Linked DNA regions of Drosophila melanogaster. The protein of the gene in region 2 purifies or fractionates together with the protein of the main gene of each other region. This does not show direct contact. Each region holds a gene or a part of one and is shown on either strand. Other genes may lie near its edges.

The links.
Region 1: the proteins of CG13829 (region 2) and CG7071 purify together in Drosophila melanogaster (affinity purification with mass spectrometry, with the first as the bait; one large-scale study listed by BioGRID). This does not show direct contact.

Annotation. Positions count from the first base shown.
Region 1 is NT_033777.3:22,360,885-22,365,400, reverse strand, and holds CG7071 (uncharacterized protein), read right to left. Parts: upstream 2,782-4,516; 5' UTR 2,486-2,781; coding exon of another isoform or gene 2,455-2,485; exon of another isoform or gene 2,395-2,454; coding exon of another isoform or gene 2,114-2,394; intron 2,048-2,113; coding exon of another isoform or gene 1,877-2,047; 5' UTR 1,872-1,876; coding exon 1,274-1,871; intron 1,205-1,273; coding exon 894-1,204; 3' UTR 821-893; downstream 1-820. Other genes in the region: CG5382 (uncharacterized protein), read left to right, coding at 1-125, 181-382, 444-733; muted, read right to left, coding at 1,877-2,047, 2,114-2,394, 2,455-2,485; JMJD6 (jumonji domain containing 6), read left to right, coding at 3,106-4,332.
Region 2 is NT_033777.3:23,159,955-23,163,241, forward strand, and holds CG13829 (uncharacterized protein), read right to left. Parts: upstream 1,385-3,287; 5' UTR 1,365-1,384; coding exon 1,254-1,364; intron 1,202-1,253; coding exon 677-1,201; 3' UTR 523-676; downstream 1-522.

The DNA.
Region 1 (4,516 bases), 800 kb from region 2:
ACCAGTGCCCCGCCTGCAGTGTGGAGATCTTTCCCAACGCCAACCTGGTCTCCCCGGTGGCCGATGCTCTGAAGAGTTTCCTGTCGCAGGTTAACTGGGGCAGAAATGGCCTGGGACTCGCCCTGGTAAGCATTCCGGGCAGTAAGCTTGTAATCAATTTAAATGTTGAATCTTTCCCAGCTCTCTGAGGAGCAGAGCAGCAGTCTGAAGGCCATTAAGCCCAAGGTGGCAAGCCAGGCGGCTGTCAGCAACATGACCAAAGTGCACCACATCCATTCCGGTGGCGAGCGAGAGCGCACGAAGCCCAATGGCCATGACGCCGTGAGCCCACATTCCGTGCTCCTAATGGATGCATTTAATCCCCCAAGTGCGGGCGACTACGGTGCGCATAATCTAGCATACACTTTGAGTCATATTATAATTATAATCTTACGCACCTGCAGCCAGCAGCAGAAGACCGCTGCTGCCCCGTCAGTCGCCAATTGGTGGGACAGATCGAGACGATAATAAGTACCAGCGCCGCACTCCTGCGGAATTGTTCTCGCGATGGACACGCCGCTTCTATGCGCCCTCCTCGCGGCCGCCGTGGCGTCGCACTTGGTTCCTGGTGACCGCCGGCATTTTGGCCTTTGTCTTGTTCGTCTATCTTATGGCCTGGCTGGGTCGCGGAGGATCTGATGCCGTGGACGAGGGCTGGAATAACCCCAATCCACAGCCGAACCACTACGAATAGGGTGTGCATTCACGGTCGAAATAAGCATACGTAGCATATAATCGATATCCAAGTCCCCGATTCCGAAAGAATAAAACTTTTACAGCTATTTATATAACCTAACATTGCAAAGCGAAATAATACAACGACAAAGAACGATTTTTACTCGCAGATCATCTATCTAGTCAACATGGGGTTTCAATGTCTGGACTTGACTTCCCTCGGCGGGCGGGGTGCGCTTAGCCGGCGTCGATGGCTGCGGCTTACGTTTGGGCGCGTCCAAGACCTCATCGTACTCGTGCAGCTTCTTGGCCAGGAAGTACATCTCAGCCAGGGCTATGATGAGCGCTACAATCACGCCCAGCAAGATGCGAAAGCCGAAAGGCAGCGGGCCCACCATCAAATTGACGCCGAAAAAGCCGAACGTAAAGCCAGCGGCCACGGAGAAGATGAACTGCACCACGGCAATGATTTGCTTGTTAAGGCTCTTAACTGAAAGGGAAGGGAAGAAGAAAAAGGTTTTAAAAGGGCGGATCTAACAAGCTGGGCGTATTCACTTACTCTGATAGCTGATAGTGTCCTCTGGATAGTGTTTTAAGCCGGCATCCACATTCTTGGTCATTTTGAGGTAATCCCGATTTTGTTGCTCTGCGCGAAGACGTTGGCAGCGCGCTTCTAGCTCAGGATTGCGCGGCTTCATTTCGTTTTCGGGCAGGAGCAGATCACAGGACTCAATTAGCTGATGCAGAAAGACTTGGCAGTGATCCTGACGACGCAGTTCAGCCAGTGTTTTTGAGAGCCAGTGCAGGTCGGTTAAGTATAGGAAATGTTTAACCTCCCTTGTTGACTTTGCGTCATCACTATCCTTGACCCCTGAATCTGGTTCCGATTTATCCTTAGCAGGTTCTTCTGGTTTGTCGGCTAGGTTTTCAGTTAGTTTTGTCAACAGCTCGTAATTGAGTTTTGGTCGTTTGTACTCCAAGCCCGCATCCTTGATAATCCTAATAGAGGTGGGCAGTGTGTGGCCTCTTTGCTTCATAATCTTGGCCACATTTTCGGGCAACTCCTTTAAGTGCTTCTTTTGGGCGTCCAGAAAGTCAAGCAGCTTCTTTGACGGCACAAGGCGCACCCGCGGATCAACAATCGTTGACTTCAGCATAGTTTCTACTTGGCAATGTTAAGCTTTAGTTGCAAATCTGAGTAAAGCTCTGCGATTTCCTCCTCCTTCTCCTCGAATGAGTTCTCGATTCGGCGATAGCCGTGCTCCAAATTGGTTAGGAACTCCGCCCGGCGTTGCTCACGTGCCAGTCGCGCCTCCTGCAACTGGGTGCTAGCCTGCAATTCGAACGGAAGACCAATTAATCAATGATAAACAGGCGGAGATTACGCTGGCCCACTAACAGTTCGTTCCACCTTCGCTTTCGCCAAGAGTGCGTTGACCCCGTCCAGCAGATGGCTGACTTCCGTGTCCAGTTGGGCGAGGTTCTCGGCTCCGCTACCCCTTCCGGTTGCACTGCACCGGGACAGATCGTACTTCAGAGATCCCACTGTTTCGGTGACCTGGAAAAGTTTCTCCACTTCGCTGTCGTTGCGCCGCACCTCGAAGTTCTCAAGAAAGGCCTCGATCTCGCCGTTTACGAACACGCGATGGTCTAGAATGCGAAGCGGCACCTTGTAGAGCTCTGGAAGAGTTGGTAGCACCTGGTTATTAACGATTTTACACTGCTTTTCAAAAACTCCACCTCGTCCGACTTGGCTTATCATTATTTTCATTCGCCCACAGCTGTCACATGAGAAATCGTAGCGAACCAGGGCTTCCACTATCGTATATCGTATGATATACTTAAGATGTTATCTTAAGTTATTTATCCATTAATTTTTGCATTGCTTTTGAGGCCTGTGCTTTAGCACAGATAGTATGAAAGATCCTGCTCACAATAGTTTTATTTTTAATTTTATTTATTTTGTACTTTGAATTTGGCTAACAAACGCTGGTCACCTTAAAGTCTTGCAGCCCTGGCTCTCAATGAAAATACAACTTACACTCGCGAGGGTTAAATTTAAGTGAGCGTTGGTGGGGGAACGGTTGAGTTTGGAACATGGGGAACATGGGGTAGTAGCGCACTACTACCATTTAGGTTCTTTTATGTATGGGCTGGTTCATACTGGACCTGTGTACAATTCTTTAATAATGAAATGTTTTGAAAATGTCCGTTTACTCGGTAAACATCTGATAAAACCAGTAAAGGAGTGCTTGTCTGGCGACCAGCTGAGTGACCAGGTGCGGTCCCGCGTCGCGTTTTCAGCATGTTCGAACCTGCGGCGTCTGGCCACACTGCACTCACGCTGCTTTAATTTCCAGGAGCTGTGGAAAATTGGCCAATTTCAGCAGGATGAGCGAGGAATTCAAGCTGCCCAAGCGTTCCCGCAAGCGCACACGTGAGGTGAAGCGCAAGGCTCGTCCGGAGCTGGACGGCGAGAATGCCTGGTCGGCCATGCGGTACTGTGAGAAGTTCGAGCCATTTTGGGATTTCACCGATAACCTGGAGCGGATCGAGGAGTCGCAGGTGCCGGAGTCGGAGTTCATCGAACGCTTCGAGCGACCCTACAAGCCGGTGGTCATTCGCGGCTGCACCGATGGCTGGTTGGCGCTGGAAAAGTGGACACTAGCCCGCCTGGCCAAGAAGTATCGCAACCAGAAGTTCAAGTGCGGCGAGGACAACGAGGGCTATAGCGTCAAGATGAAGATGAAGTACTACGTGGAGTACATGCAGAGCACGCGCGATGACAGCCCGCTGTACATCTTCGACAGCAGCTTCGGCGAACACCATCGTCGGCGCAAGCTCCTGGATGACTATGTGGTGCCCAAGTATTTTCGCGACGACCTCTTCCAGTACTGCGGCGAGAATCGTCGTCCGCCTTACCGCTGGTTTGTCATGGGACCGGCTCGCTCCGGCACCGGCATCCACATTGATCCACTGGGCACTAGTGCCTGGAACACGCTGATCCGCGGCCACAAGCGCTGGTGCCTGTTCCCCACCCAAACGCCCAAGGAGCTGCTCAAGGTCACCAGTGCCATGGGTGGCAAGCAGCGAGACGAGGCCATCACCTGGTTCAGCACCATATATCCGCGCACCCAGCTGCCTAGTTGGCCGGAGCAATACCGCCCCATCGAAGTGCTGCAGGGAGCAGGCGAGACTGTATTCGTGCCCGGCGGCTGGTGGCACGTGGTGCTCAACATGGACGACACCATTGCCATCACCCAGAACTTCAGTTCGCAGACGAACTTCCCCTGCGTCTGGCACAAGACTGTTCGCGGCCGGCCAAAGTTGTCACGCAAGTGGCTGCGCGTGCTGCGAGACCAGCGACCGGAGCTGGCCCAGATCGCCGATAGTATTAACCTGAACGAGAGCACCGGCTTCGCATCGGACAGCTCCAGCAATTCAAGCTCCTCCTCGTCGAGCAGCTCCTCGTCTTCGGAGGAGGAGGAGAGCGACGATGGCGGCGATTCCAACACGGACAGCGGCCAGGAGAGTCTGACGGCCAAGAAGAAAAAGAAGCGGCGCATGGCTGGCGGCGGCTCCGGGTCCGGCTCCATGGGCGGATCATCGCGTTCCTGATCCAGGGAGCGGGCCAAGCGCAAGGGCTTGCTCATGCGCCTCTTTCAACGCCAACTGATGCTGCTGAGAGGACTGCCCCGCCGCTGCCGGCTCAGTTAGCACTGAGGTCGCGATCATACTCTGCAGAGTTTTGTGTATTTTTCTACTTGGACCAGCATGTTTGCAGCTCCTGGATCCCGTGCTC
Region 2 (3,287 bases):
ATAAAACGACATTTATTATTGCTACCGAAGCATTTAATTGCCCATCACAAGAGGGTGTCACCTTCTCACGTTGCATTAACATCAAAATGAACTAATTCCTACTGGCAGATGAAAAATGGAACTGTCACCAAAGAAATTCTGCCTTCTGGAGTTGTGAATGTGCTCAAAAAAAAAAAAAAAATGGTAAGTATTGTACTTAAATCACGAGTTTCACCTGTTGCCTTTCCATGTCGTCAAAGACTTTAAAGATATTTAGACAAAGTCATGGCAGCTGACAAAAATCGGTCGATATGGGCAATAAATAAGATCACGTTGTGCAGTTTAAAGTTGGCATTGGCCATGTCACTACCGTAAACTTTCCATGCGGAAAAAACTTAGGCTGCATTCGTTCTTTGTCCCACAAACACAAATCCCTGGACATGTGGCCGTCAAGAAGTCCCAATCGCGGGATGGACAAGTGACGGCTGAAATGCGCTTCCAACTCATATTGCTTTCAACCAAAACAGAAATCATCGCGTGGGTAGCATTTTTTCGCATTGGCGAATACGAATACAATTTTCACGAAAAATATGTCAGCCACATGATGAAAGCAGGAAGTGTTCAAGATATATACAGAAGAAAGTATTGTGATGTATTGGCATATCAAAGATAGTCGAAAGGTGGAGATACAATTATTTTACAGAGATATTTTGGCGCTTTTGGCCGTCACACTCTTTGCATAGATGGCTCGGTAGATGTAAAAGCCAACTGCTGCATGAACTGCAACTACGGTGCAAATGGTCGAAATAATATCGGCATTGATATGGGCATAGCTCTTGAGCACCACAAATTTCAGGGCAAAAAAGGTGGCTATGGGAAAGCCAATTATTAGGGAACAGTAGGACATCAGCAGCAGGACAATGAACACGGATCCATGAATTTGGGTGTTTGGTGGCATCAGAACTTCCCACTCCAGCTTCTCCATGCTCGAAATCTCTTGAAGGAAGATCAGGCGCAGGATATAGCCCGTGACCAGGACATGCATCACAATTACCGTGGCTACGCCGGATCCAATGCCCACATTGTCATCGCTGTTTCCGTAGAGCGGCTCCATAATCAAGAACTTGAAGATGACGAAGATCACCACGGGAAACAGAAGGAAGACGGTCAGAAAGAGCAGCAGTCGCTGCATTCGTTCGACGAGATATTCGGCTCGCCTTTTCTGGAAGGGAATTTAGCGGACTTGGATACCGAAAGGATTTTGATTAGCTTACCTTGACATTGGAAACAAGTTCAGCATTGTTCAGATCCGCTGTGGAGCAGGGAGCGAGGGAATGGCTAACCACCTTTCCACTGGGATAAATCTTGCGCAGCTTGGCAATCATTTTGTCTATATTATATTTAACTTAGGATATGCAACTCAATGCCTACTTAAATTATTGTCTACGATTCTCAGATAGTCGTCTAATAATAGCACACATATTTTAGTTCAATAAACTTAAATCATTTTATTAGCAAATAAATATGATGCCCATAAAACTTGGCATACAAAAACAAGCCCAAGTCATTTTGGGCAATTAAGAGATCAGCAAACATAAAATTTTTTGCTGAACATAAAGATTGCCACCATGCGAGGCAGAAATATCTGGTCGCATGACTGGGGCGACATGACTATATAGTAATTAAACTTAACCTAATCACACCAGTAGCCAGTAGCCAGAAAAAGAACTTCGTCAGATTAGATATGTGTAATTAGCCAGACGGTGGAATTCGGGTAGAGCTATCTTGACCGATAAAGCCCTCCAATCAACGTCGTGATTTTTATAGCAACACTTGACTTAAAAACCGCGCCCTCGATTTATAGCAAAAGATTATTTGTGGGTCAGCTGACTGCAAGGGGATCGGTTTTTTCCCTAGCGAAATTAATTTGCCAGCAATTCATAAATTTAGAATACTACAAATCAATCGTTGGAATTTTCATTGACATTCACGATTCGGTTGTCAATTTTTCACAATTATATTGCGCATTTCGTTGGGTGTATTTTTTAGAGAAATTAGCAAATTTGAAGGCCAAAATTATTGTGAAAGATTAACATTCCATTTATTTCTCAGTTATTCACAAGAAAAGCATTTGGGGCTCATAAAGATTTAACAAACATAGATTACCATAAATCTTTGACGTTACATTCGCTTTAAATTAATAATCTTATCTAACTTTGAACGCACGTTACTCATACGCAACGTTGGCCCATTGATTTGAATGCAGAGCAGACTTCCTGGCTAAAAATAAAGCAATAGAATGGGAATTTTATGAATACGCTTATCCAATATTTTTCAACTGTTATGTCTGTGAATCATGCAAATTTTAGACCAGCCTCTGTTATCACTCAAAAGCAGCTGCTCTATAAATAATTTCGAGCGATAAAGAGACGGCATATTTGTGTTTTGGTTATTCGATCAGTTTGGCCTTTGATGCCGTTGCCAAGGGCTAACGCGGCATCCGAAAATAGCCAGCTTTGGTTCTTGTTCTAGCCAATCTTTATGGTCTGCCAGAGAACTGGCCCCCATCCAAATGGCCAACAGCTGTGTGAACAGCGGGAATGGCGTGAAAATAATGCAAATAATGAATATAATGAGAATTATGCCAAGTTCGGTATGAGAATCGGGTCAATATACCACAACCACTTCGACAGGTTGACAAATGGGTCTCGGATAGCTCATTAGTGTGGGTATGCTGGTCATGCAAATTGCACGACAACTAATGGCGAAACTATTTGCAATTCAACTCCCGCGGGGCATTCCACTCGCCCAATCCCAATCCCAATTCCAATCCTTCCGGTTCCATTTCGAAGAGTGTCCTTCAACCAACCGAACCAAAGCTGCTGTACTTATGTATGCATGCATATCATCGGCTTGCAGCTTGCTTCTTGTACGCACATGTGTGTACGGCAATTATGGTAATTGCCTTGTCTGGGCATCCGCTTCCCGTTGGCGTCCGTTTGTTTGCCTGGCCATCCAACCCCAACCAGACCAGTGGAGAGCACCGGATCGGCCAATTCAACCCATCCCGTCCTGCCTGACCTTGACTGCAGTTTCCCCTATTCGCTGGTTGTTCGAGGAGCAATCGGACTCGCTTTAACCTTGACAAACACGTTTTCCGTCACTTGAGAGTTGACCAAGTTTTATTGGTTGCCTTTGAGTGCAGCTGGTGAAAGTTTGCCCCCTTTATGCGTTTCCAGGATACAGCTAGAGAATTCTATACTTTTGTGACCTTCGATTCTCAATTATAAGTCGCTGGCCACGGGGCA